7 linked regions of the Xenopus tropicalis genome follow. The protein of the gene in region 1 interacts with the protein of each later gene in a pairwise test. Links are inferred from orthologs where the notes say so. Each region holds a gene or a part of one and is shown in the gene's direction. Other genes may lie near its edges. The genes, in order: necab2, bysl, iscu, kansl1, tex11, ehhadh and nek6.

Region 1 (3,500 bases):
GGTCGGTCCAGGCAGCAGACAAGAAGGGTCAGGAACAGGCAAGGTCAATACAGGCAGCAAACAAGAGAAGTCAGGTACAGCCTAAGGTCAAAACACGGCAGGAACAACACAGGAACAACACCCAGGAACTCACAGGAGGAAAGCCTACGTTGGGCAGGGATTACAAGCAACAAGCGCCTTAAATTTTTGAATTTTGGCGCCAAAATGACGCATGCGCAGAGCGACGGACACGAGCGTGCATGCGCATGCATAAGCGAACACGCATGCGTGTTAAAAGGCAGCGCGCCGTGTGCACACGTGCCTAGGAAAGGACGCCAATGGAGGAGGCGGCGGCGGCGTCCCCACCGCCCCACTAGACCACCAGGTACCTTTATACTACATCATCAACTGGGAGGATTCAGCTTGCTGTTTGCTTCAAAGAGTTCCCCCTCCCTCCCATCGCATGGTGTTGTGAACTAGATAGCAGGCAGGCTTGATATTTCCATTGCCTGCCTACTTCAAAGGGCTTCCCCCCTCTCTGCTCTTACCACAAAAAATTAAATAGCAGGCCAGCTTAAGCTTTCCCGTAGCTGCCTGCCTGCTTCTAAGGGCTCTCCCTCCCGCCTCCCCATTACACATAGACAATGGAGCTGAGCTTTTCACACACTGGCTGAAAGCAGAAGGTGTGTTGCAGGTTTGTGATTGGGCATATTTATTCACTTGGAAGGCATTTAAATTAAAACATGGAAGAAGAGAACAAACATGGCTGCTCCGTGGGTCTGAAATTCGTGCTACCATAATTATGAAGCGATTTAGTTGCAGATTTAGTTTATAAGGAATTTAAAGCTGATACAAATTAAAATACAACAGCAGGTGTAAAATAAAATTTTAAGTGGCTGTCAGTATCACTTTAATATGGTAGGGATTAGTGATAAGTGAAACTTTTCACCAGGTTTTGACACAAAATTGACGAAAATTTGACAAAAAATTGTCATCCGTTGACTTCAGTGCATTTTGCCATTTTGCAAATTTTTTGGCAAAGCGAAACGGAACAGATTCGCCCATCACTAAGACCTTAGATTGTAAGCTTCTCAAGCTGGCCATACAGGCACCAATATAATCATACAAAATGTACCTTTGTACGATTTTCAGACTGCATGTGGGCTCAAAATTATCATCCCGATAATTTTAGTACCATGGCGATCGGTCGTTTAGTCGATCGGACAGGTTAGAAAATTTCAGTCAGATAATGATAAAATCTGCACATGTATTGCGTATCTGATGCTATACTTGGGGGACCTACAATGCATAACCAGGAAGTCACTTTCATATAATTGGTGTCTGCCAACTATTTCATGTTCATCCTATTTTTAGGGATCAATTTCCGAACGTTTGTTGGAAGACTAAAATCTGTACGTGTATGGCTATTTTTAGGGGAGTTGTGAATGATTTATAATCTATGTAAATTTGTTGGTGCTATATAAATAACATGAAATAAATAAAAAGTAAATATAAATCTGACAAGGACCTTATACAGTCATGGCCAAATTTGTTGGCACCCCAGAAATTTTTCCAGAAAATCAAGTATTTCTCACAGAAAATTATTGCAGTAACACATGTTTTGCTATACACATGTTTATTCCCTTTGTGTGTATTGGAACAGAACAAAAAAGGGAGGAAAAAAAGCAAATTGGACATAATGTCACACAAAACTCCAAAAATGGGCTGGACAAAATTATTGGCACCCTTAACTTAATATTTGGTTGCACACCCTTTGGAAAAAATAACTGAAATTAGTCACTTCCTATAACCATCAATAAGCTTCTTACACCTCTCACTGGGAATTTTGGACCACTCTGCTCCAGGTCTCTCTCCTTTTCCCAACAGCAATTTTAAGATCTCTCCACAGATGATCAAGGGGATTTAGATCTGAACGCTTTTTGACTTATGTTTGGGGTCATTGTCCTGCTGGAAGACCCAAGATCTCTGATGCAAACCCAGCTTTCTGACACTGGGCTCCACAGTGCAACCCAAAATCCTTTGGTAATCCTCAGATTTCATGATGCCTTGCACACATTCAAGGCACCCAGTGCCAGAGGCAGCAAAAACTTTCATCAATTTTTTCTCTTCCGTCCACGCCCAGAAAGATTAGCTACAGTGCCATGGGTTGCAAACTTCTTGATAATGTTGCACACTGTGGACAAGGGCAAATCTAGATCTCTTGTGATGGACTTGTAACCTTGAGATTGTTGATATTTTTCCACAATTTTGGTTCTCAAGTCCTCAGACAGTTCTCCTCTCCTCTTTCTGTTGTCCATGCTTCTCTCCTTTTTATCTGCTTTCAGGTGTGATTTTTATATTGCCCACACCTGTTACTTGCCCCAGGTGAGTTTAAAGGAGCATCACATGTTTGAAACAATCTTATTTATCCACAATTTTTAAAGGGTGCCAATAATTTTGTCAAGCCCATTTTTGGAGTTTTGTGTGACATTATGTCCAATTTGCTTTTTTTCCTCCCTTTTTTGTTCTGTTCCAATACACACAAAGGGAATAAACATTTGTATAGCAAAACGTGTTATTGCAATACTTTTCTGTGAGAAATACTTGATTTTCTGGAAAAATTTCTGGGGTGCCAACAATTTTGCCCATGACTGTAAATGGAAAACTTGCCACACTGATATATTGACGATTTTTAGCCAAATATCGGTTGGCCATACTCTTCAGTGTAATTGGGAAGGACTGGGAGGACTAAATTGGCAGCTTTTATCAGTCACCTTGACATTCTCTAACCATATTTCATTGTAATAGATTCATTAGATTTAGATATTAGATTTATCATATACAAGTGAGAGGGCTCAAGGTCGGACACATTCACACCTCCCCCTGTCCACCCATCATGTATACAGAAAGCCATGATATTTTGCAAATTGGGTGATATCAGATTATTGAACATTGTCTGAACATATTTATTGTCTTTTCTATTTTGAAAATCTGCAATTTCTGTCCTGGTGTTCACAACAAGGGTATATTATGAGATTGGGACAGCATAATTCTCTGCTTGCCTTTGCTTCCCAGGTATATGAAAAGGGTACCAATGTGGACCAATTTGTAACTCGCTTTCTTCTGAAGGAGACAGCCAATCAGATTCAATCACTTCTAAGCTCAGTGGAAAGTGCAGTTGATGCCATAGATGAACAGACAAATCAGAAAAGGTAAGTAACTAAAACTCACATACGGTATTACCCGTTAGCCTTCTACATTTGAAAAGTATTGGAATATGTTGATGCAGTACTGTTCAAGGGAAAATACATGCAGTTTATCGGTAGTTTTTCTCTTTCATGGATTTTACATTAGTGAAGAACACAATCCAAAAAACTTATGTTTAAGAAGAAATATATAGATGGCAAGTTCATTTGTTAAGTTCCCCTTAAAAAGTAAAGCTGAGAGTTAGTGATATGATGTGATTTTTATAAATGCATCAGGAAAATATTACAAATACAAACAGAAAATGTTATTGACAC
Region 2 (4,272 bases), on another chromosome or scaffold:
GAACACTACTATAGTTTATAAAAATACGCTGCTGTGTAGCCATGGGGGCAGCCATTCAAGCAGGAAAAAAGGAGAAAAGGCACAGGTTACATAGCAGATAACAGATAAGACACCATTGTATTCTACAGGGTTTATCTGTTAGCTGCTATATAACCTGTGCCTTTTCTTCTTTTGAATGGCTGCCCCCATGTCTACACAGCAGGGTTTATATAAACTCTAGTAATGTTTCTGAAGCAAACACACAACTTTTACCAGTGCAGGGCAGCAGTACATTATAGTTTAATTTCTTTAAAATATATACATTTTTGGTGTTACTGTTCCTTTAAGATGACTCTAAAGAGGGCAAAGAAGTTAAGAAAAACAAAATCTCTCTTCATATTACCAGTGCAGCTAAGCAAACACTGGCATGTATATTGTAAGATGTATCCAGTATGGCAGCATCATGGGCACTCAAAGGTTTAGCGTCACCAGAAAAGATTTTCAAAGCAGCAATTTGGAGGTGTCCTAATATTTTTGTGAAGCATTAAAAAATGTTTCTGCTTCTGCAGATTTTGAATAAAAAAGTAAAGTATTTTGCAGCATTTGGTATGTGTATGTTCCCTCCCAATTGTGCGGACTGCCATGAGAATGTGAACAGGAAAAGAGAAAATCTATATCCAATTTACTGTGATTTTCTTTTCCTGGAGCATTCCAATGCATTGTGGGTTATGTACAATGGTGGCATTTGGAGGATGCAGGCTGAAGGCAATCATACAGCAATAGGAAGTATGGTTGCTGCCTAGGCAAAAAAAGAAATCATGGCTATTGTTAATGTTATTTATAAGAAAGGAAGATAAACATAAGACAGATATATTTTGGTATAGTATATCAGTCTTCCTATATTCATAACTTTATACCCTATTAATAACATTGGCATCCAGCACATTTTTTTTTTTACCAGCAACGCTATTGGGGGTTCAAAATTATCATTAAAAAATTCTATTATTCCTTAACAAAGGCAAAAAAAAATCCTGAAAATAAGAGGCAGAATACATTTTCAACAGGTTATATTTACAGTGTTGATTTTTAAAAAAGGATATCTTTTAACTGTCTCCCTATTACCCATAGCATTCTTAGTGTGATACTGCACTGCAGTGTTGAATTCGTAGGATTCCGTTTTTCTATAATTAACAAAGCAGCAGTCATGCAAATAAGTAAGCGTAAACTTAGTTTACAAAAGATAAAAACAATCCAGAAGTTAACACGTATCTGCAAACATCAAAATGACGTTTCTTCTTTTTCTACTACTACATTAAAAATGACAAACACTTACCAAGTCACTCCCATGCTGGTACTTAATTGTACAAAACACAGCGACGTGTTATGACGTCACGGCGCTCAAAATTGTTGTCATTATTTGCGGTTCACGCAAGTCCCACATCGAGGCGTACGATGCCAGGGGAATAGGAGCATGCGCAGTGTGTGGATCTATGCACGTGTATGTCAGGAAAATGCCAAAGCACAAAAATTCTCGGGGAGCTGCTTCTCGCTTACTCCCCTTAGCTGATCAGATCGAACAGGAGGGAGAAATTAGACCCTCGTTCCGTAATAAGCGCAAGGGGAAACCTACAGACGACGCCGAAGATGATGGATACGTGGACGAGAAATTGTCCCGAAGGATTCTGGAGCAGGCCCGTATTCAGCAGGAGGAATTGGAGGCCGAATATAGTCTGGGGAATGTGACCCCTAAAGAGAGGACAACTGTTTTAGGTAAAAAAGGGTAAAGAAACATTTCCAAGGCAGAATACAAAACAAAAGTTTTTAAACCGGTATATAAAATCAGTGGGGAGTCTTTAGACTGAGTCATAACCAACAACTAGTGCTGTAGTTGTAAATACATAGAAACGAGTATGGGACAGTCTTAATAATCCATTAATGTAATCCATTTAGGGCCAGATTATATTGAAATTTTGCCATGCAAAAAAAGTCTACTGGGGGCCAAAGAAATGCTCAAATGCTCATTAGCTGGTTCAAATTGAACATTCCAGGTATATAATATGATACAGTCATACACATATAAGAATATTTGAAAAGTTGTACATAAATAATTTGCTAACTTCATTCTGTGATAAAATGAAGGATATCTAATGTGCTGTTTTATATGCTGATGCATCTCCATGCAAACACATGTGCAGTATGAAGCAAGGAGGGAAAGGAAGGGAGAATACCTTTTTAGAGATGGCTGCCTGTTCTAGAATATGTGAAGTAAGTGTGACTGAGTAAATATTTGATTAGGTGAGCCAAAAGTGTGGCATTTTTACTAAACAATAGGAGGACTATTGGGCAGTATGCTTTTTAAATTTTGACTTGCATTCTCCTTTAATGATTATACTCCACATAGCATATATACTTTAGTGTATATGTTATAAAAGACCGGAATCATGTGTGCAAAAATGGATTGTACACTGCACCTTCATCTTAATTTTTAAGATTTGATTTTATCAAAAATGTTTTTAGGACCCTTTTTAAATTAAAGGTACCATACAGGCAGTGCTGCTTTCTAGTTCTATTTAGCCATGACAAGGTACAGTATGCTCAGTTATACTAGCTGTAATTAGAACAAAAAGTGTGTAATATAGCCTAACATGCACTAAATGTATTCAGACTGTGACCCTTAACTCGCATTACAAATATTTCATGTTCTCTTGGGCCTACCCTGGGAATTGTTTGGAACCGGTGCTCCACAGAAACAGACCTTGTAGCATTCACTAAGTACAGTCTGAATTAACTTATTTACAAATTAGAGGTCATTATTTCTTCATATTTATCTTTGCTTGTATATTGGCAAATCAATCATTATCTTTTGTAAATCCTTGCCCTTCAGATTCCAAGAACAGAGCAGAGGGTTCAGACTCTGAAGATGATGAGTGGCCTTCATTGGAGAAGGCAGCCAGTCTGGAGAAAGGTACCCTCAACGAGGAGGTACAAATTAACCCTGAAGATGAAAAGGCAATGGAAATGTTTATGAATAAGAACCCTCCACTAAGGTAAAGTAGCAACTATCTGGAGACGCCAAGGGTTACATGGGTCAAATAAAGCCGGGCCAGAACTTGGGGTAGTCAGAAGGGAGCAACGATGTGGGGGTGTGACAGTTACCTCTTCTGCCTACCCCCTAGTACACACACTATTGCCCCAGCTGCTTTTCTCGCATCCTACCCGGGATGTCAGTGCACTTTCTCATGTACACACATGAGAGGTGGGGTGCAGGGTGGCCAATTGGGTTGCCTAGGGTGCCCGGTCGGCTTGGCCAGCCCCTGAATAAAATAATCATTAATAGAAATACTTTATAGCAAAGATTACGGAACTTTATCCATACACTATCATTTGTGAAATTTAACAGGTCTGGATATGTACATTTTAGTCAAAAGATGATTTTGAATAAAAACAAATTAGTGATGAGTGATTCATAACATTTTCAACCCTAACCTGCTGTTTTCCAACCCAGCTTCTACTATAACTTTTATGTGGTTCTTCTCCGATGACTCTTATATGGGTGGGACCAGTCACCACAGGAGATGGGTTAGAATTAATACATCACCTGGTTGCAGTTTTACCTGCCACCCTCTTAAACCCGCTTCTAGGGCTTGGTTCTCGTGGGTTTTGAGTCATCCCATTTATCCCTAGTGTGAATGAATGCTTAGTTTACCTATAGTTGCAACCAGTAGAGCAAAATGAAACTGAATTGCTGTCTCTGCTAATTTCTTTAGTATATGGCTTTACATAATGACAAACCCCTCCATTGTTTCTAATCCCTCTATCCCTCCTAAAAGGGGTGTAACCATGTATATTCACAGCCCAGTCACTTGTTTCATCTCACTAGGTCTCAGTGATACAAATTATATCCTAATTGTCAGTACATTCAATAGACTCCAGCTCTTCTAATTTCCCTGACAAGCTCTGTGCATTTGCCAGCATGCCGTGGAGGTTACTATTTTTCCCTCTAATATTTACATTACAGAACTAAGAGTTAGATCTGAGGTTACTATTAGGGGTTTTCCATGTAACAGAGGAATCTCCTTAGCTGGTAAAATGTATGTATCCTTGCTTATCCCACTGCCAGATCTACACTAGCTTTCCCATAACCCCCCCCCCCCTGCCTTTTTTAAACACTCCTCCAGCCTCTTAGCCATTTTTTTTCCCCAGCACAATGGACCCCCATTCCATTAAGGAGCAATCGGTCATGGCTGTATAGATTGTACCCCAAAGAAAAGTCAGCCCAGTGTTCTAGGAACC
Region 3 (4,154 bases), on another chromosome or scaffold:
AAGGTAAGCCTGCAGCTTGAGATTAACTCTTTGGTAGCCTTTACTTCTCCTTTAAGTACTTTGGTCCTTGTAGCAATCAGTAGAAAGCTTCCTGGGCTTTGCATAGCTGTTGTCATGGCTGTGTGGGACCAGAGGTGACCCGATTCAGCACAGCCCATAGCCCAGCACCTGTCCCCGGCCCGGTGGTTGGGAACCCCTGATTTAAAGCACATAGAGGCCCAAGCAACCCTGCACCAGCCCAATATATAGTGACTTTCTGTAGGGCTAGAAATGGGTCTGGCAGAAGAGGCATGTGCCCAGGGTACAATGTAACCTGTCACTAGTCTGGGCTCTTGTCCTCCCACTTCCCACTCGTCATTTACCTCCCCAGTAGTCAACATGCATGCATGCATGCAAAGGGGTGAGGTGGCTGGCTGGGTTGCCTAGGATGCCCAGCCGACTTGGCCCAGCACAAACTGTCCATGGCCATAGGCCTCTGCAAAAAGAGGCAAGGAAGGCCACTTGCCCCCCCCCCCCCTAGAATTCTACACACCTGACCCAGATCGGTGTTGAAATGTAACATATTGCCCAGCTTGTCCTTGGTTTTTCTCAGCTACCTGCTCCTTGAGAAAAGAATTAAACAATAAAACTGTAGCTTCACAGAGCAATAGTTTTTTTGTCTCAGGTGTCAGTGATCCCCTTTTAAAAGCTGCAAAGAGAACAAGATGGCAAATACTGTAATTCAAAAACTATGGAAACAAATAATAAAGACTTAAGAATATATAATTGAAAAGTTTAATAGAATTGGCCTTTATATAACAAACTAAAAGTGAAATAAAAGGTGAGCCATCACTTTAAACAGCCCCCTGGTTCTACACTTATTAGTTGCGAGCAGCGTTACAGGCTTTGCTAATAAACCTAATACGTACGTAAAACACAGTTTGCTTTTTACTTAATGACTCTTCCTCCCCGCAGTTTTTGCGGACACCCATGTCTATGACAAATACGTACAAAGGTTCTTCTAGCCTGGAATAAAAAACTGACCAAAACCAACTCCGATATCGCGCTACTTTATTACACTACTGGATGTAAACTACATCAATTCCACTTCCACGTTAGCGATAATAGGCATAAAGAGTCCCTTGACTTTGCGGTTGAACTTGGTAAACCTAATAAAGTTATAGGGCAACAAAAGAAACTTATCCCTGCAGAATGAGCTAAAGCCCAAGTACATGACAGCTCCACACTTCAACGTTACACATAATAGAACGCTGAACCTTATTACGCAACCTGGCTGCAACAAACTTTATTGTTGGTTACGCCCCCTCAGGCCATGTGACCCGCACGTTGTGTGGCGTTGGCACGCCGCGTCCCTATTTGCTAGCTGCGCGAGTGGAGGACGCTATGGCTGGCGTGGGCCGGGTGTTTTGCTCCTTATGGAGAAAATGTGGGGTGCACGAGTTTCGGGTGCCTTGTGCTTCTTATCATAAGAAGGTATGCAGCGCTGTGCGTGGGGCGTACGGGGCCAATACGGAACAGGGTAGTGTGGGAGCAGGAAACGAGTGTTACATAAGGTGACACAGGTGTCACAGTGACAGCGCTCGCCTCGCAGCCCATACTATAAAGTACTTATTGCCAATGCAAGCCGACACGTTTATCTTTTAACACCGTAACCATCTTTACAGAGGACTACAACATGAGTCGTTTTAATTCTTAATAGAAGGCTGTCAGCTTCGGTTGTGGTGAAATACAGTAACAGCAGCCAGTGGGGTTGTCAGCTTCACTTCCCCGAATGGCTTGAGAGAAAAGGTGTCTCAAGAGAGAAGCCGAGTTAGCAACTGATAGGAATTGACAATGACTGACTCTAGCACTCTGAGGGTATAGGGAATATGGTAAAACTTTATGCTAAGTAAGACATGTTTGCCATAAGAGATACTGACATCAAAAATGTATTCTTTTTTTTTTTACTTCTGTCATACCATAGGCTTTGCATGCTATTGATTAATTTGCCAGAAAAGTATTCATCATGCTGTCCGTTAGAATTACAAGCTATAACTGACTGGCTAAGAAGGGACAGTCAGGTTGGTAAAACTGGTTTAGGACTTCAAGTAACAATTACTCACAAATGCAGCTCTTTCGGTAAAAAACGAGCAACATGACCTATAGGCAACTTTTCGTGGACATTTGTATTTTGAAGAGTAGTTTTTTAGTGTCAGTATCAAATGTACATATATAAATATAATTCACTGCACCACTACGGTAGCTGAAGTGTTTCAAGGTTATGAGGGGACATTTACGGGAGAATTCAGGAAAAGGAAATATTGTGGTTGTGATGCCAAATTCTCAGACTTATTTTTCTGCCCCTATAGACAGTTTTGCAAAAAATATCATTAAAAGTATGCATGGCTATCTTTCTGTCAATACCTGTTGTGAGTTTCTCATACAAGGCACTTTTGGCAAGCAAAAACACATTTGTCAAAAACAAATTATACATCTCTAAATTACTTTTTGTTTTCATTAAGAATTTGTGCCACTTTATTTCCTTTGGCTGCTTTCCTGTGTCAACAACACATACAATTTGGATTGTGGCATGATAGCTAATCTTCATCTTGGGGGTGGTCAGTTTCATTCCTTCGCTGCTAGTTGATTGGCAGACCTGACATTATATTTAACTACATCTTTCCTGGATGAGGGCAATCCTGTGATTTGGTAAAGACCAAAACACCCATATTCACTGGCACCGGTATTTAGTAAAAGTTAAAAGTATTTAAAACAATTTAGAGATATATGACTTTTAAAATGCTCTGATGGTTAATACGACAGCACATAGTATAGATAGGGATTTTGCCATTCTTTTGAATGGGAATGAAGTATGGGTCAGGATAGGTGTTTTGACCTTTGTAACTCTCCTTGAAAGAACTAAAGCACTGTGATGCCTGTGCTATAGATATTACAGATGTTTGTTGTTTACAAGATAAAATCTGATGCAAGTGTTTACAGGGGCTCAGCATTCATTGCCTTCCATTAAATTTGCAGCTTATATACTAACTGAGCAAATGGCAATTTTACACAAAAACTTTTGTACCAAAGTTAAGGTACATAAGCTACCAAATAAGGACTGTGTTTAGTTATTTGGTAGCCCCTATGTGAACTGGCAGACTACAGGAGGCTCTGTTTGGCAGTGCACATAGTTTTTATGCAAAAAAAAAAACAAAACTTGTCTGTAAGCCAGAAATTAAAAAAATAAACCCCTGCTTTGAGGCCACTGGGAGCAACATCCAAGGGATCGGTGAGCAACATGTTGTTCTCGAGCCACTGGTTGGGAGTCACTGCCCTAACCCATATAGGCCTAGATCTAACTAATTATATGCAGTGCTCCCTAAAACAGGGTTAAATCTAGCATTTCAATAAAAGTGGTTTGGTGCTTATTTTACAGAAATGTAATGTTTGTATTCACGTTGTAAACAAGGCTGGCATAAAAATGTGGGTCAATATAGTGACAGAACATTTCACTATTAACAGCAGTATCTCTGTATGCTGAATAGTACCATTTGTACTCCATAGTTTTTCACAGCAAGCAATAAAAAAAAAAAAACATTGTACAGATTTTTTTTTTTTTTTTAAACTAATTCATTTTTGTTAGTAATAATTTAAAGGAGAACAAAAGTTATAATCACTGGTAGGTGCCAAAATGTTAGGAAGGAAGAGGATCGCTCACCTGCCTGTGTAACAGGAGCACCAGCCAGGGGTTTCACGTAAGTGATTACAATCACTGGTGCCTTGTGCCTAACATTTGACTCTCCTCAGTGATTTAGCCTTTCCTTCTCCTTTAATTAGACTTTTTCAGATTTTGTGGCCAAGCTTACGTTTGTGTAGGTTTCATTGTTCTCTGGCACTGTTCCCTGGCATCTGTAATAGATTTGCAACCATGTGTGACTTTTTGTTGCCACAAGATTAGCAGCAGAAGTAAACATCTTGTGACTTGTTCAGACCACAAGTTCTTTTTAATTTGTCACTTGTCACATAATCATAGAGGGCACAGAAGATGGCCAAGTAACCTTGGCCATATTTATACAGATTGCTGTGTTTCTGTCCCAGTGTAATTACAGGCCTCAGAATTATTTGCATTACACTCAAGAGCATATTTTTTAACTGTTTAAATTAACATCACCTCT
Region 4 (3,500 bases), on another chromosome or scaffold:
TGTCCTGTCTGAGCTGCTATTAAATCCCCAGACAGACTGTCGAACCCCCAGCCATGCAGCACAAGGGTCACATGATTCCATGGATATCCACAGCAGGGGAACATAAAGGCAGGTGGGGGGATGATACAAGATCCTGGGGCCCTAAGATTGTTGCACAATTACAGCTTTCATCCCACCCAACCCAAGCCCGCACTAGGAAAATATAAATGCATTCATCACCTCTTAAAAACCATCCCATGCTGTGTGCACCATTAGGAGTATGGCATTATTGGTTGTGCCCTACTAAGCTGCCTGACTATATGTATATTTCAATCCCAACCTGGATTTTGTTGTGGAATGGCCACTGCTGTGTGTGGAAAGTTCCGTAGTAGTGCGGACTGATGTGGATGATTAAATACTCTGTAACGGGCAGGGTCATGTGTTAAATGAGTAATAATACTTTTTCATGGTTATATTTAAAGGGCAAGTAAAGCCATCCTACAATAAGGCGTGTTCTGGGATGTGCTGGCAAAATTTTACCAGGTCCCAGCACAGAGGAGCTGTATATGTTTCAGGGCTCCTATTCCGCCTTTCTTACAAACATTACCTGATCCCCATCCAGTCAGTGTTACTGGGCAGGACATTTTACTCCTGCATTTAGTTAAGGTCTCAAAGGTTTATTATAGGGGCAGTTAGCTTTGCAATTTATTTATTATTTTAATTTGGCCATACACAGGCCAATAAAAGATGCTGACCTGTCCATTCTGACCAAGATGGCAGCCTATAGGCCCATGAAAAATAGGCCTCTGCTTTTGGTGCGTAGCCCCCACCGACAGGACAAGTGGATAAACAGCTGCTTCCATGCACTCAGATGTTTTGCTGCATTGAACTTCCCTCCCACATACAGACTGCTTTTACCAAGGGATCTGGGTGACTGCAGGTTCATTGTGGAGGATTGGTTACTACATAGTGACTCGCCAAACGCCTTCCTTCTGCTTAATATATAGCAATTCCAAAGCCATTCTGCCCACCCTCCCTTTCAATTTCTTATAAAAGAGTCAAACCCATTTAGGGAAGTGGTGCATGAGGCTATTTGCACTGGTTTTCTGCTTGGTGGGTAGGTGGCAGAATACTAGGAATTGCCTCTCCATTGATGGTTATAGTACCCTGCTGGTGCGCTTGCAGATCAGGTGATTACCATACATAAGCCAGCATTTTGCCACTGAGTGAGTGTGCAAGAAGCAAAATATTAGGAATAGCCCAAAACAATTAGAAAGTGATTAATTTTTGCGGGGCAAACAACCTTGGCCTTCTGTCCTTTTGTTTGCATTATGTTACATTAACTGGGCACATACCAATCCATGTATAGTTACTCAGAATACTTTTCTGGGCAATTTTGTGTTATTGTATTAGCAGTTTTTCACTGTTGATATCATGAGCCCCCTGCCCTTGTGTTCTGGTGGATGCAAGACAGAAAGGCAAAAAGCTTTAATTTACTTGTGCAAGATGCATCTCCTGACACTTCTCTGCTAGTTTCTGTTGCTCCTGTCACATTGAGTGTAGAGCGCCTGTTGGCATTACTTGCTCCTTTATATTATAACCAAAACACCACTAGAAAGGGAAGAGCCAGTTAAGTCACAATAGACCCACCCCTAGTACCTTTCTGAATGGTTTGGCCTGGGGGCTGAATTGTGTATGTGCCGTGTTGGCTGGGTGTGACCAACTAGGTCTTGTCATAGCCTGTAACCCAGAGAGATGCCATAGAGCTGTGCCACCCTTGGTACCTCCTGCACAGAGCACAATACTGCGGATAAGCGCTCTGTTGGTGACCCTAATATAGCAGTAAATACCAGCTGCCAACTCAACTGGCCAGCATTTTACTGGAACAGTCATAACTTTTATTCCTTGTTAATTAGGATAATGGTTAAGGGAGTCATGGGACAATTAAATACGATCTCCCATCATTTTATTTGTGTGCAGGAAGCGCCGGTGTGAATGGAGCTGGGCCCAGGAGCGTGCGGATGTGGTGAGTCGATGGAACTGGCTGCAAGCTCATGTCTCCGACCTGGAGTACAGGATTCGCCAGCATACAGATTTCTACCGACAGCTCCGTTCAGGGAAGGTAAGGAACCAGGGAGGTGATATAGGGCTGGTTTCTTCTAAATGCCCCATGCACAGTGAATCTGCTATTAACATATGGCCTGTCTGTTTGTCCCTAGGGGCAAGTGGTCCTGGGGGAGGCATGTCCTTCCGAAACAGCTGGGGAGCCTCTGCGCTCTTCCCTTCTGGACTCAAGAACGTCCTCTTCTCCTTCACCAGATGCAGAGAGGCGGGTGAGTTGTGGTTCTGTGAGGAGCAGCATATTTGAGGAGTGGATTTGGGGGTGGGTATAAAAATGAAGCTACTATCGTTTTGTGCACATGGTGGCTATTTGCTTGTATTTTGCTGCAGGAAAGGGCAGACTTCCCTCCTGTAAATAAGCGTGCAGATGTCTTAACCACAGTCAGTTGGGGGTTAATGTCATAGCTAATGTCATGTGATTGTCTCTTTTGTGTGGATTTAATTCCCTGCGTCTGTTTCTTGTTCTCTAGCGCCCCCTGCTGTTGACACGTGTATGCAGCCATGCACCACGTGAATAAAAATAAGCATGTTAGTCCTGCACACTTGGCTCATTTCAGGGCACCAAACAATAAACATGGCTTAATTTTTTTTCTTGTTAACAAGGACGTCAACTTTTTGTGCTTCTTCATAGGCTGATTCCAGCACCACAGAAGCCAAGTCCTTGCAAAGACCGATTAATGGGATTGTTAACATGTAAGTAGTAGTATCTTTTTTGTATTTTCTTATTGTATGGATTTTATATAAATTAATATAATACATACACACATACATGTTTCAATAAGGAAAAAGGAAGAAATCTAAAAGCATGAAGGACCGATCTATGTTTCTTAACTCACAAGTAAGAAGGTTAATAGTGAAGCATTTAAAAATTGCAAATCAGAGGGGCAGACATTTCTTTTAGGACCGATAAATACTACAAGTGTTGTAAAACACCAATGAAGAAGGGAAAAATAGAAAATGAGGAAGAGATTGCTTCACGTCCATGGACTAGTTCCAAAAATGTATAAATTATGTGAGTTGAGATTGTTGCAGATTATGCATGGTTTGCAGAACATTTTGGAGGGCTCCTGTCTCCCCTTAGTCTTAGCCTTAGTTATTTCATTGGCGTGTGTTTATCGGCACAGTCAGCTGAATGAGCAGCCCCAGGTGGTAAACTGCTTTGATAGCAAGGAAGCCTGCCTAAACCATAGCAGGGTGGGGGATATTAGTTTCACATGCCCCTGTTGGAGAGGTGAATCCGGCAAAGGCTACCAAATTCTTCATATGCAGGTTTTAATGCTGTTACTATAAGGTTTTATTTGTATATGGAAGCATTTCAGGCTCCTGGCAGTATCTGTATTGAAATGTGATGTTTGGCATTCTTTTATTTCACCCTGCGTATTTCTCTTTTTTTCTCCACT
Region 5 (3,998 bases), on another chromosome or scaffold:
TTGTGGCTACTAAAATAGACAATGCTAATCATTTACTGATAATTGTCTTTATGTGTGTTTTAGCGGAAGCAGTTCTAAATATTGTCTATGGCAAGGTCATTTCTGGAGTTAAGTAAACATGAAAGTAGCTGCTACTAGTAGCTCACTGTGTTTTCACCCTTAGGGCTCTGGCACACGGGGAGATTAGTCGCCCGCAACAAAACTCCCTGTTCGCGGGCGACTAATCTCCCCGGATTGCCATCCCACCGGCGAAAATGTAAATCGCTGGTGGGATGGCATACGCGGTGGCGTGATTTCAGTATGCCACGTATGCCATCCCACCGGCGACTTACATTTTCGCTGGTGGGATGGCATTTCGGGGAGATTAGTTGCCCGAGACACGGGAGATTTGTCGCAGGCGACTAATCTCCCCGTGTGCCAGAGCCCTAAAGGATAGCAACAACGTCCTTGACAATCATACTTGACACCATTCTACTACTCATAATAGTGCTAAATAAAATGGTGCACATGGATGGCAGTCCCATAGAAAGAACTTTGTTACACTGTCACTGCGCAGCATTATATTGTACAGCTTAATCATTCTCTAAACAAACCCAGAATTGAGGCTCAAAATGAAGTTGCCAGACTATATTGGAGGCAATGTAAGTGCAAAGCATGCTGAAATAAATGTAGCCCTAGCCCCTATATATAGGGACCTGTGTATATGGACTCATGTAATCCTGTTCTTACTAACATAGTTCAGACTCCATGATTTCAATTTGAAATAGAAATATTAGACAGTTGACAGAGGAGACATTATCCCTATTGACATATATTACATATTGACAAATAGAAAGACAAGGTCGCAGTGAAGGTCACAGTGAAATTTTTTTTAATCTGTTCATGCCATTGCTTTGTTTTGCTGTTCTGTGATACTATAAAGCAGACATGAAGATTTTCCAGATGTCACTCCCTTCACAGTGAACATGCTCAGTCTACTCCTTGCCTACATAAATATTATCCCTCATAGTAAGAAATATGCTTTTGTCTTTCTTTATTTGAGCATTTCTGTAGGAAAAAAAAAGCTTAAATTAAGTAAGGCTTCAATCTTGCTGTAATGGGCCCAGCCTGCTGGGCTATTCACTCTGAGTAACCCTGTTTTACTGTGTGGTTCTGTGGCTGGGACTTAGCTCCGCCCCTTCCTTAATAAGCAGCTGTGAGGAGAATCAGAGCAGGGAATCCCCTCAGATATAGAGAGCAGGGAATCCCCTCAGGTATAGAGAGCAGGTTCTCTTCCTGTTTGTGTAGATATGTGAGAATCTGTCAGTCCGTATGGATGGTGTATAACTTGTGAATGCAAATGTGTGTGTTTGTGCATGTGTGTGACAGTTTTATAATATCTGTGCCTGTGTGTGAGAGGTAGTGTTGCCACCTGCCCGCCTGGCAAAACATACAAACATAGGGAGACTGGTAATTGTTTTCCAGAATGTGGCAATTCTAGTGTGAGAGGATTATACAAACAAAATATTTTATGCATATATGTGTGAGAGGGAGAATATACATGCCGTTGTGAATTTATATAAGGGTTTGTGTATTATAAGATATAATAGCAGACAGGGCCTTTCAAGCTCAGTCATGAGGTGTAGAGAGATGAAACACTGGAATTGCCCCCCCAGCGAATTGCAGAAAATAACCCAACCCCATGTCATGAGGGAGATAATAAGCAATTTCAGGCCTTTTTGAGACCTTATTTCATGTTATCATTAAGCGTGAAGGCCTAAAAACACCGGGACTGGATTATTATCTCCCTCATGAGATAGCGCTGCATTTTGCCATGCCTATTACCCTTAAACCGGCCATACACACACCGATAATATCGTACAAACCTCGTTTTCACTTCACGAAAATATCCGCCCTATGCCTCGTCTGCCATCAGCCTAATGCACAAGTGAAAATGCATTGATTCAGCCTGATTTAATGAATTATATGGGGCATTACCATGTGGTGACGAAAGGTTTTACTTTTATGGCTTTAGCTTGTTGTACCTACAGATGCAACCAGGACCAGATTTGTGGAGAGGCAACAAAGGCCCGGGCCTAGGGAGGCAGAAATTTAGGGGCAGCATGCCACCCCGCCGCAACAAAATTTTTTAATTTTGCACCCATAGGGAGAAATGGGGACCTTTCCCCACTGCTCCGTATTGGAGTTGAACTATTTGCGCATGCGCAATCGCTGCCGGGGGGGGGGGTGTGGAGTTCGCACATGCGCGCTCGGGGAGGAGAGGGGGGGCGGCCTAGGGGCACACGGAACACAAATCCGGCGCTGGATGCAACTGATTTGCAACTGGTGAAGTAAATGGTTGTTGGGAGGGTAATGATTTATCCCTGTCAATACCACAGTGGAATAAACTGGAGATCCACACAGCACTTATAGATGAAGTCAGGAACCATTTATTTAAAGCCACATTCACAGAATCTTTACAACTTTATTCACATACAGGGTCGGAAAAATCCCGGTGGGCCCCGACGGCCCAGACCCGACTCTTGCAGCGCTCCACCTACCCGACCACTCCTCCCCTGACGTGTTAAATTTACGCTCTCGGGGTAGGACGTCGGGTGGGGGGCCCTGCGAGGGGGGTTGGGGGGCCTGCCCCCCCGGTGGGCCCTTCACCCCCCTTACATCCCCCATACATTCATACACCCTTAGTTGTTATAACAGATCAGTGAGTAAGATATCACAGCAGACAGATGTTTCAAGTGTGTCAACAGACATCCTGCTGCCCTGAAGATATCTAGCATAAATGGACAAAAATAAAGATTTAGGGCAGCTTAACCTCCCTAAAAAGTAAAAAACATATTTACATGTGACTTATTCAGTATAACTCCCAACATTTAAATTTCCAAATGCAGACCAAATTAGTCCCACACCTGGCTCATCCTAGCCACACTCAGCTACACCCAACACTCCCAAATCTTCCTTTAACCCATTATTTGTTGAAAAACCCCTTCCCTTTTTCAGGCCTCTAGACCGTCTGTCAAACAACTGTGACTCTGGGAGATATGGGCAGTGCCTCAGTTAATACCTTCAGCATACCTGAAAACTAGGGACCTTAAACTGTAAACTCCACTGGGGCACAGATTAATGTGACTAATGTATAACCCCTGTAATGTTTCTCTGTGCGCATAATAATGTACTCCTGGGCTCTATAATCTGCTAAATGAATTTCTTTCTCTAGAGGTTTTGGTTGATTGATGAAAATGGAGGATGGGTCGTCTTTGAAAAGAATAACAGGTAACATTCATGTATAAAAATGGTCCCATTGCTTGACATTTATTGCTTTTTTTAAAATGAAATAAAATATACTTGTAAACACTGACAAATAAGCACACATTCTTCCCTTATGGCAGCCCACCTTTGGCCTGTAATACATTTTTAATCCTAAGCAAAATGCAGAGTACAACAGTGCTCTGGATGCAAGAGATGTGTAAATTAATATGATTTTGTACTACTTGGTGCTCTTGCATCTGCATACCCCCCAACATTTGAAAAATTAAAAGAGGGACAAAAAGATTTGGCGTGCAGCGCAGCAAATTTTTGACCACGCCTACTTTTGTGGCCACGCCCCAACTACCACCGCAAGTGTGCTATACCCTCATACTGTACTACTTAAGGAAAGCAATATAGCAACTACATATAAAATACAAATATAGAGAGAAGGCAGTCAGTTGAGAGTTATAAGTGAGTTATAACTATCTACCAGTTTTGCCTCCCCATACACAGTGCCCCCAAAGGCCCAATAGATAGTACCCCCCATGCACAGTGCCCCCAATTGCCCCCATACACAGTGCCCCCAACTGCCCCCATAGACAGTACCCCCATACACAGTGCCCCAATTGCCCCCATAGACAGTACCCCCCATACACAGTGCCCCAAATTGCCCCCATAGACAGTACCCCCCATTCACAGTGCCCCCATAGACAGTACCCCTAATACACAGTGCCCCCGAGTGCCCCCATAGA
Region 6 (4,257 bases), on another chromosome or scaffold:
ACCCAAATAGCATTAGTTGTACTGCATATATCTCCTCCGTTTGCCAGCACCATCACATGTTCCTAAAGCGAATAGCAGCACACAGGCAGAACTATCTCTGATAAAGTTCTGATGTGTTTGAACTGAGCTCAGGAGAGAAGGTTGGGAGAAAAAAACTGAAGCAGACAGCTAGAGCTGAGTTTCTATGGGAACCAGCAATGCCATCTCTTCACTGGCTGCTAGATTAGGGGGCATGTTTAGTAATCTGATCTTACAACAACTGAGCATGCCCACAAGCCAACAGCCAAAGCAAATTCCTGAGGGAGGGGGCCGAGTGGGTTACAGGAGGAGATGCAAATCTAAGTGATTAAGGAGATGTTGCAGCCTTACTACCGGTATTAACCTCTGGACAACCAGTGTGGCAGGTATTGAGAGATTTCAAAGAGGCTGTTCACTGATTACATTTTTGTGTGTGGAGTTTACATGTCCTTTAATTTCCGCCTTACATGCAAGCCCAGAGGGATCATAAGAACGTGGTGCTTCTCTCTCCCTGTCTTCCGTTATCCAATAGCATTCTCACGAATTTTTTGAAACCCTCCGAAGTTCATATTGAAATCTGTGCAGGTAGCAATTTTTCGGCTTCATTCGGGCATTTTTGCATGCATGTGACGTCACGTCTGCAAGTGAGCACCGGTGCGTGATGTCACTTCCATGCAGCAATACTGATGAACGAATAATTATAATTTCAAGATGGCGAACCACAGGTGCTGCCTTCTGCTTGCCTTTTAACTTTCCACTCCTCTGGAGTGGGACTAGAAAAAAATAAATGAACCACAGAGGCAGGAAATTGAAAAATAAAGTGGGGAAATAAAAAGCTTTTGGGCAAGGATATACAAAGAGAGTATCAGGGCCTAACACATGAAGAAAACAAGTTGGGGAAGTGGAATACAATTTGTAGTTGGGCAGGGATAAGAAAAGGAGTACCATACTAACTGTTGTAGGAATTAGGAGGTTAGGGTATAGGATCTGAGTATATTGGGAATTTTATCTAAAAATCTTTTAGATAGTAGCATTGGTAGGAAGGTGGAGTACAGATCATTCTTTAAATGTGGGAGTGGGTTAAATCGGCTATACAGATGTATACTTCTCTCCCAAGAATGAATTTTCTAAAATCTAGCTTTTCCCATTCATTAACTTGGGTTTAAACATTACAAGGCCATGCAAATATGCCACACCAAAGTATGTTTATACATGCTAGTATAATCTTGAAGCAGTTCATATTAAACCTTACAGAAGAGAAAAAAACAAACACAAATATGCATCAGCAGCTTTTAGTGACTAGCATGCTACTCTTGCTATACTGCATAGCTATGGCTTTCCCTCTCTACCCAAACACAATTTGTGATACACCCACTGAGCTACTGATTGGTCAAGTGTCGGAACAAACACTCGTTACATATCAAGGGAAGGGGCGGGGCTTCTCGGCTCTTGTTTCAAAGTGTAGGTGCACTTGAACTTTGTACTTATACAGCAGCGGCGATGGCTGCCACACGGACTCTGTCACATACAGTGGCTGTCATCAAAATCAACAATCCTCCTGTTAATGCGCTGAGGTAAGACGTTGAGCTGGATTCGTTGTGGGAAGGGACCTCAGCTATAGGTGTTTGTGGTGGACTGGAATCAATACACCATGAAGTACAAACCAGCCTTTTCTCGACCTTTGTATCTAAGTGTAGCTGAACTGTAACACCTTAAATGCCACTGATCATTGTAGAATTCTGGGAGTTGTAGTCCCACAGTAGCTATGAATACAGATTAAACACTCAAAATCCTAATTTGCAAGTTTAAGGCAAGTGCAATGCTCTGGTTTGGAATGCAAAATTGAGCATGCTTAGATAACTCAGAATTTATGATGAAACTAACCAAAATAGACACCACTTTGCATGTGTATGGGTGCATTCTGCACAAGGGATTGTATATGCCACTTGGAGAGTGCCTGCAATTACACTCTTAATCTGGATAAAAAACATTGTGATTTGCATCTGAAAATGGCACTTTGCACAGCGCTTTATGCTTGCGCCCTTCTGAAAGCTTCTAATAGCCTTATAATTGGCTCCTATTTTGCATCCCTCCCTCTGTTTCCCCAGTACCTTCCAGTGCTCTAGAAGAGTAATTCTATAAGGTGACCGGTATCTCCATACTGCAGCCCTCCACTGCTTGCACTGCATTACCAGCATTTGGCTGTCCATTTTCATGGACAGTATTTTTCTGGGATGTGCATGGTAAAGAAAGTGCAGTTCTGAGAAATATAGAGTAATTTAGAAATTGCTGGTAGCTGAATTATTTATCAGCATATAAACTGGGCAATATATATTAATAGACAAAGTGGCAACTTTACCTGAATATGCTCTAAGGTAACTTGCAGTAAATATCTCTTTGGCAGGAAATGAACAAGAAATATGAAATGGTGAAATCTAGGCTTAAGGTGGCCATGCACGGGCCGATTCTAGCTGCCAATATCGGTCCCTTAGACCGATTCGGCAGCTTATCAGCCCATGTAGGGGCACCAACGACGGGCCTGCCCGACCGACATCTGGCCTGAAATCGGTCAGATATCGATCGGGCAGGTTAAAAAATTTAGTCTGATCAGGGACCGCATCGGCTAGTTGATGTGGTCCCCAAACCAACTGCGCCCATTACCATCGTTCTTATGCCCAGGGCCAAACGACCGAATTAGCCTAAATTCACCCAGTATAGGTGGGGATATCAGAGAAGATCCGCTTGCTTGGTGACTTCGCCAAGCGAGCGGATCTTAACGTGTATGGCCACCTTTAATGTGTATTTCCCTGTAAAGAGGCAATGTATAGATGAAGCTGGTTTTAAAGATGCACTGTGTTCAGTAGTAACTTATAAGAAATGCCTGCTCCATCTGTAATATTGTAGTCATAATCTTGAGAGATGCTAGGGCTCAATAATATCCTTTTGTAAAGCTGGACTAAATATTGCCATTTCATTAAAATATGGCTACTGGGTGAACTGGTTCACTGATAAATAATTCTTTTTAATATGGTGGCTCTATCACACAACACACAAAAGAACTGAAGTCTGCTAGCTAAAGGTGCGTTGGTTTTTGTACAATTTGTGTGTTTCCTTGAGAATATGTTTGGGCTAATAAATCAACAAAAGAGGGACCATTTGCTTTTATTTGCTACCATATATTGTGCTTATTTGTCTGCCATAGCACTCCTGTCTGTCAGGCACTTATCAAGGAATTGGCAGAGGTCAAAAAGGACCCATCGGTAGAGGCCATTGTCCTGTGTGGAGCAAATGGAAAATTCAGTGCAGGTATGGTTGTGTTTATTTTTCTGTCACTGGATGGATCTGTGCTATCATTTTCTTTTTAAAATAGGTGATTCCATATTCTAATACACTCTTTACTGCCCCAGGAGCAGACATCCGTGAGTTTAGTTCTGCAGCTCGGAGAACCGTATCTTTAGAAGATATAAATGCTGAAATAGAAAGCACCACGAAGCCTGTGGTGGCTGCCATTGAAGGAGTGGCTCTCGGAGGAGGTCTGGAATTAGCATTATCGTGCCACTATCGTGTGGCACATATAAAGGTGCAGTCACTTTAGCATCTACTAAGATGTTAAGATCAGCGGGACAGGCGTCCATCTGGGCGCAGTCAGCATAGCAACAAAACTATTTGGCTTTGTCTGGTTCTTACCATTTCAGTTTACCTGCTCTGCCACTAAGCTGTGGCAGGTTACAAACAACAGTGAATAAAAGCATATAACAGCAATAGTCAAACTGTGGTAATGAGCTCCAGTATTAGTTTTGGTGGAGTTGTTGTTTGGAAGTGATACCTGGCACTTTCCCTGTCATAAGAACACTGGAAATAATATTAGGTCCTCATCTGTGTGAATTTCCCCTTAAAGTGGCCTTTTGGTATCTGATATGTACAAGGATTATGAATAACTGAATAGTAATGGGCAAACTATTTGATAATTTTGCTCCTACATGCGGCTACTCAGCACTGTGCCAAACTGTTCCAATAGAAACCCCTGGTTGTATGCTGCTGCTTTAAAAATAAAGTTTAATTGCACAAAGTTCATAACAGAATTACAGATAATTTTCTCTTGTTGGCTTACAAGTGCTATGCCTTGGGGAGGAAACCATAAAGTTTGTCTCTTCAAATAATGCAGTCCCAGAGGGCAGGTGAAACAAACATTTTTAGGCCGTAGGCTTTCACTGTAAAAGGTGAAAGTAGCAAACCACA
Region 7 (3,500 bases), on another chromosome or scaffold:
AATAGGGGTGCCAAACCAGCTGCCCTGTATCAAGTATAAGTGCCATGCCTTATCACTGACAGACTTTTGGAAGAGAGCTGGGAGTAATAATTTAGCAACAGGTTAAAAAGTCCATGGAACTATTCATAGTTCACATACAGGACTTATTGTTTTATTTCTCTTTTTTACAGAGACACATGACTTCCTATCCCTACCGGTGCAATTTGGCAGACTTCAAGATAGAGAAGAAGATCGGACGGGGGCAATTCAGTGAGGTCTACAGAGCCACCTGCCACTTGGACAGAAAGCCTGTGGCCCTGAAAAAAGTTCAGGTACTTAAAGCTTGGAAACACTGGGCCTTTTCCATCCTCACACAAGGCCGCGCAATCCCACTGACCTCTGTCTGCTCCTGTGCCTGCACTTACAGGCACTGCATTGGCCTGGCTTCAGATATACAGAGTGGATTTTGGCAGAAAAATGCATTTTCCGCAACAAAATTTAGCTCCGTGTGTCTGCACACAGTCTAAAATAGTGGAAGAAACTGTAATTTTAAGCAACTTTCTAATTGAAAACAAAAAATAATAGTTTAAAGTTTGTAAATTGCAGTTGAAACATAATGTTACAGGAGTCAGGTCTCCTCTAGTCAGAGGCAAAATTAGTTTTGGGTGGTGGACCCTATAAACTTGGCAAGAATTATGCAGGCAGTGGCGACTAATCAACTGTGCAGGGAAATATACAGAGAGATAAGGTTTAATAGTGAGATATATGTGTGTATGTGAGACACAAATATTCAATACAAATAACACAGGCCATGCTTATTGCTTTATTTTCAATTCATGCTTTCCAAGGAATCCATGGATAAACTTCAACCTGTTCCTAAATGAAGGGTATGTTTTAATATTCATGTATATATTTATATATATATGAGAAATGATACAATACTTGCATGGCTTTATGAGGCAATACCTTTTAAACAAGGCCTTATTATTCATAAATGGCTTTATTCTTTACTATTTTGAAGTCACATACAATTATTCTTTTTTTTGTTTATGATACAAGCAAATTTAATGGAATTTGCTTGTTTTTAGTTTTCTTGCTCTTTGCTCTGTTCATGGCCACATTATGCCTGAATTTATGAATTATAATGGGCCTCTCTTGTAGAAAATGTAAAAGATAAAACAAAAATACATTATATGAGGACACCACCATCTGCACTGCAGGGATAGGGTCATGCATAATGCTTCTACATTTACATACTTTAGCACAGGCACACTTTCTGTACACAATGCTGCAAGAACCACACCATTTATTACAAAAGCACAATATTTTCATAATAAGGTCTGTTGAGGTCTTTTGCAGAGGCCTGTAGCTGCAGAGGCTCCATCTGCCCCATTGTTAATCCACCCTGTGGCCATGTCCCTAAACCAGTCGGGTCATTAAACATAACTTCAACCGGCAGGATAACTTTGGGGTAATTTTTCCTTTTGCCTAATAGTAATTCTCCTCCTGAATCAGTGCATGTGTATTGCATTAGAAATGATCTTTACATTATCTATGGATGTTTGCAGTTTATCCCTGCAATGGATGAGTTCAATTTTTAAACAGTTTTAATAGGGGGTTTCAAATCATCTTTTGTTAGATATGGTAGGATCTTGGTAGTTACACTTCATACACAACTTTTGCATATGTTGCCGGTCATTTAGAAATGTGCTAAATGTAGAAGATGTAGTGCAAATATTCCTAGTACCAAAAAATTTGAATACATAACCTAAAATTCTAAAAAAGCGCATTGCTTTTAAATCAGTTTAATCTGCCAAGGTTCCAGGTACCTGGTATTACAGGTAGGGAATCCGTTATCCAGACTGCTCCAAATTAAGGAAGGCCATCTCCCATAGACTGCATTTTTATCAAATAATTCAAAATTTTAAAAGTGCTTCTGAGGAAATGGCGGGAGGCCACGAAACGCGTTAAGCGCTAGGTCCTCTGGGGATGTACTTGTGCCTTTTACTCAATATGGAATAAAAGGTTGTTTTTTATCTTGGTGGTGCTCCGCTACTCATTTTTCTTATAGCACTTTATATTATGGCAGTGTTCTCTTATAGAGACATTAAATTATGGGGTTCAATAAATTACTCCAAAGTGGAGTAATTTATTGAACTTAATTTGACCTGGGGCACAAGGTATCTGAAGTGAGGAGCATACACTGAAAATTGCACTTATTTATATTTGTAAAAATGGGGGAATGGGGAACAGCTAAACAAATGTATATAGTGAATAATGTACCCCCTGTTGTAAAAAATAGGGATATTATAGGTTACCAAGGAGTTTCATGACCACATACAAGAACCAGTTGAAGGCTTGGTGCTTTTATACAGGTCATGGAACTCCAAGGTGACTTCTAATATATTATATTATATTATATCCTCATATTTTACAACAGGTGGTGCATAATTAATTATAATACACACAAGATTGTTGGACTGCACGGTGAATAAAGAGAAGATATGCAACCTGATGTGCTGATCCTTATTATATATGTATTTACATGTTTTGACCTAGCATACAGTACTGACACACAATTTGACTAAATATATATATATATACATTTTTTTATGTATATATAAGTAATCCCTAAAGAACTGCCAGAAAAATGACATGTATTAACAAATCCAAACTTGCTCTCTAGATATGGTGCAGAATTATTTTAAAGTCCAGGCATGGGATTCATTATCCAGAAACCCGTTATCCAAAATGATCTGAACTAAGAGAAGGTCATCTCTCACAGACTCCCATTTTAATCCAAATTTTTTCTAAAAATTATTTCTGGCTTTAAAACAGAAAGATTACAATGACAAAGAAAGGTCATGGAAAGAAAAAAGCAAGGAAAGGGTGCCTTGTTTGCAAGCAAATAATTACAATAATACAAGATACAAACATGTGACTGTCAGTCCTCTTTTCCTCTTCCCCATAAGTTGTACCGAACATTTCAAATAAATGGAGCTGTTACCAAGTACTTCTTGATGACCACAGTCCATCTGCTAATCCCATATGAGTAGTTTACAAGCTGTTTTCACCTCTCTGTAATGCATGTAAAAATCTGATCACATTTACCAGGAGCCTGCAGACAGCTTTTAAACCAGAACTCCCATCAGCTTTTTATAAAGTGGCTTTTCAAAGTGTAAGGATGATTTAAATGGAAACCGTATCCGTTTTATATAGTGAGGGCAGTTTTACAGAAGGCCACATTGTGTATGGCTCCTGCTGCCGTATGGGAGGGTCTGGTCAATAAGAGCCAATTCTTATGCTTAATGCTGTCTGTCTATGCACTTTTCTTTATTGAAGAAATAATATAAATTAATAGATTACTAGGGAAAGCAAATTCTGTGGTGTAATGGAGAGGAAAGGATGATTTAAAAGGAAATTTTAACTAAATTTAGTAAGAGATTGGAACTACTGTTTATTAATGTTAATGCTGAGCCATTAAACATTTACTACTCGGTAAAAAATACAAAAAAATTCAG

What was found.
Region 2: the proteins of necab2 (region 1) and bysl interact in binary tests that used the Homo sapiens proteins (3 or more experiments, as listed by UniProt). The two-hybrid records come from large-scale screens. The link is inferred for Xenopus tropicalis from reciprocal best matches to the Homo sapiens genes NECAB2 and BYSL.
Region 3: the proteins of necab2 (region 1) and iscu interact in binary tests that used the Homo sapiens proteins (3 or more experiments, as listed by UniProt). The two-hybrid records come from large-scale screens. The link is inferred for Xenopus tropicalis from reciprocal best matches to the Homo sapiens genes NECAB2 and ISCU.
Region 4: the proteins of necab2 (region 1) and kansl1 interact in binary tests that used the Homo sapiens proteins (3 or more experiments, as listed by UniProt). The two-hybrid records come from large-scale screens. The link is inferred for Xenopus tropicalis from reciprocal best matches to the Homo sapiens genes NECAB2 and KANSL1.
Region 5: the proteins of necab2 (region 1) and tex11 interact in binary tests that used the Homo sapiens proteins (3 or more experiments, as listed by UniProt). The two-hybrid records come from large-scale screens. The link is inferred for Xenopus tropicalis from reciprocal best matches to the Homo sapiens genes NECAB2 and TEX11.
Region 6: the proteins of necab2 (region 1) and ehhadh interact in binary tests that used the Homo sapiens proteins (3 or more experiments, as listed by UniProt). The two-hybrid records come from large-scale screens. The link is inferred for Xenopus tropicalis from reciprocal best matches to the Homo sapiens genes NECAB2 and EHHADH.
Region 7: the proteins of necab2 (region 1) and nek6 interact in binary tests that used the Homo sapiens proteins (3 or more experiments, as listed by UniProt). The link is inferred for Xenopus tropicalis from reciprocal best matches to the Homo sapiens genes NECAB2 and NEK6.

Annotation. Positions count from the first base shown.
Region 1 is NC_030680.2:48,267,409-48,270,908, forward strand, and holds part of necab2 (N-terminal EF-hand calcium-binding protein 2), read left to right. Parts: intron 1-3,054; coding exon 3,055-3,191; intron 3,192-3,500. UniProt on the Homo sapiens protein: May act as a signaling scaffold protein that senses intracellular calcium.
Region 2 is NC_030678.2:70,761,285-70,765,556, reverse strand, and holds the start of bysl (bystin), read left to right. Parts: upstream 1-1,472; 5' UTR 1,473-1,490; coding exon 1,491-1,749; intron 1,750-2,863; coding exon 2,864-3,026; intron 3,027-4,272. Other genes in the region: med20 (mediator of RNA polymerase II transcription subunit 20), read right to left, coding at 1,313-1,326. UniProt on the Homo sapiens protein: Required for processing of 20S pre-rRNA precursor and biogenesis of 40S ribosomal subunits. May be required for trophinin-dependent regulation of cell adhesion during implantation of human embryos.
Region 3 is NC_030677.2:146,313,442-146,317,595, forward strand, and holds the start of iscu (iron-sulfur cluster assembly enzyme ISCU, mitochondrial), read left to right. Parts: upstream 1-1,354; 5' UTR 1,355-1,383; coding exon 1,384-1,473; intron 1,474-4,154.
Region 4 is NC_030686.2:17,274,763-17,278,262, reverse strand, and holds part of kansl1 (KAT8 regulatory NSL complex subunit 1), read left to right. Parts: intron 1-1,959; coding exon 1,960-2,101; intron 2,102-2,198; coding exon 2,199-2,312; intron 2,313-2,731; coding exon 2,732-2,793; intron 2,794-3,500. UniProt on the Homo sapiens protein: Non-catalytic component of the NSL histone acetyltransferase complex, a multiprotein complex that mediates histone H4 acetylation at 'Lys-5'- and 'Lys-8' (H4K5ac and H4K8ac) at transcription start sites and promotes transcription initiation.
Region 5 is NC_030684.2:44,770,466-44,774,463, forward strand, and holds the start of tex11 (testis-expressed protein 11), read left to right. Parts: upstream 1-1,198; 5' UTR 1,199-1,253; intron 1,254-3,214; 5' UTR 3,215-3,230; coding exon 3,231-3,270; intron 3,271-3,998. UniProt on the Homo sapiens protein: Regulator of crossing-over during meiosis. Involved in initiation and/or maintenance of chromosome synapsis and formation of crossovers.
Region 6 is NC_030685.2:54,570,281-54,574,537, forward strand, and holds the start of ehhadh (peroxisomal bifunctional enzyme), read left to right. Parts: upstream 1-1,457; 5' UTR 1,458-1,518; coding exon 1,519-1,592; intron 1,593-3,220; coding exon 3,221-3,324; intron 3,325-3,425; coding exon 3,426-3,598; intron 3,599-4,257. UniProt on the Homo sapiens protein: Peroxisomal trifunctional enzyme possessing 2-enoyl-CoA hydratase, 3-hydroxyacyl-CoA dehydrogenase, and delta 3, delta 2-enoyl-CoA isomerase activities. Catalyzes two of the four reactions of the long chain fatty acids peroxisomal beta-oxidation pathway.
Region 7 is NC_030684.2:29,198,623-29,202,122, reverse strand, and holds part of nek6 (serine/threonine-protein kinase Nek6), read left to right. Parts: intron 1-170; coding exon 171-311; intron 312-3,500. UniProt on the Homo sapiens protein: Protein kinase which plays an important role in mitotic cell cycle progression. Required for chromosome segregation at metaphase-anaphase transition, robust mitotic spindle formation and cytokinesis.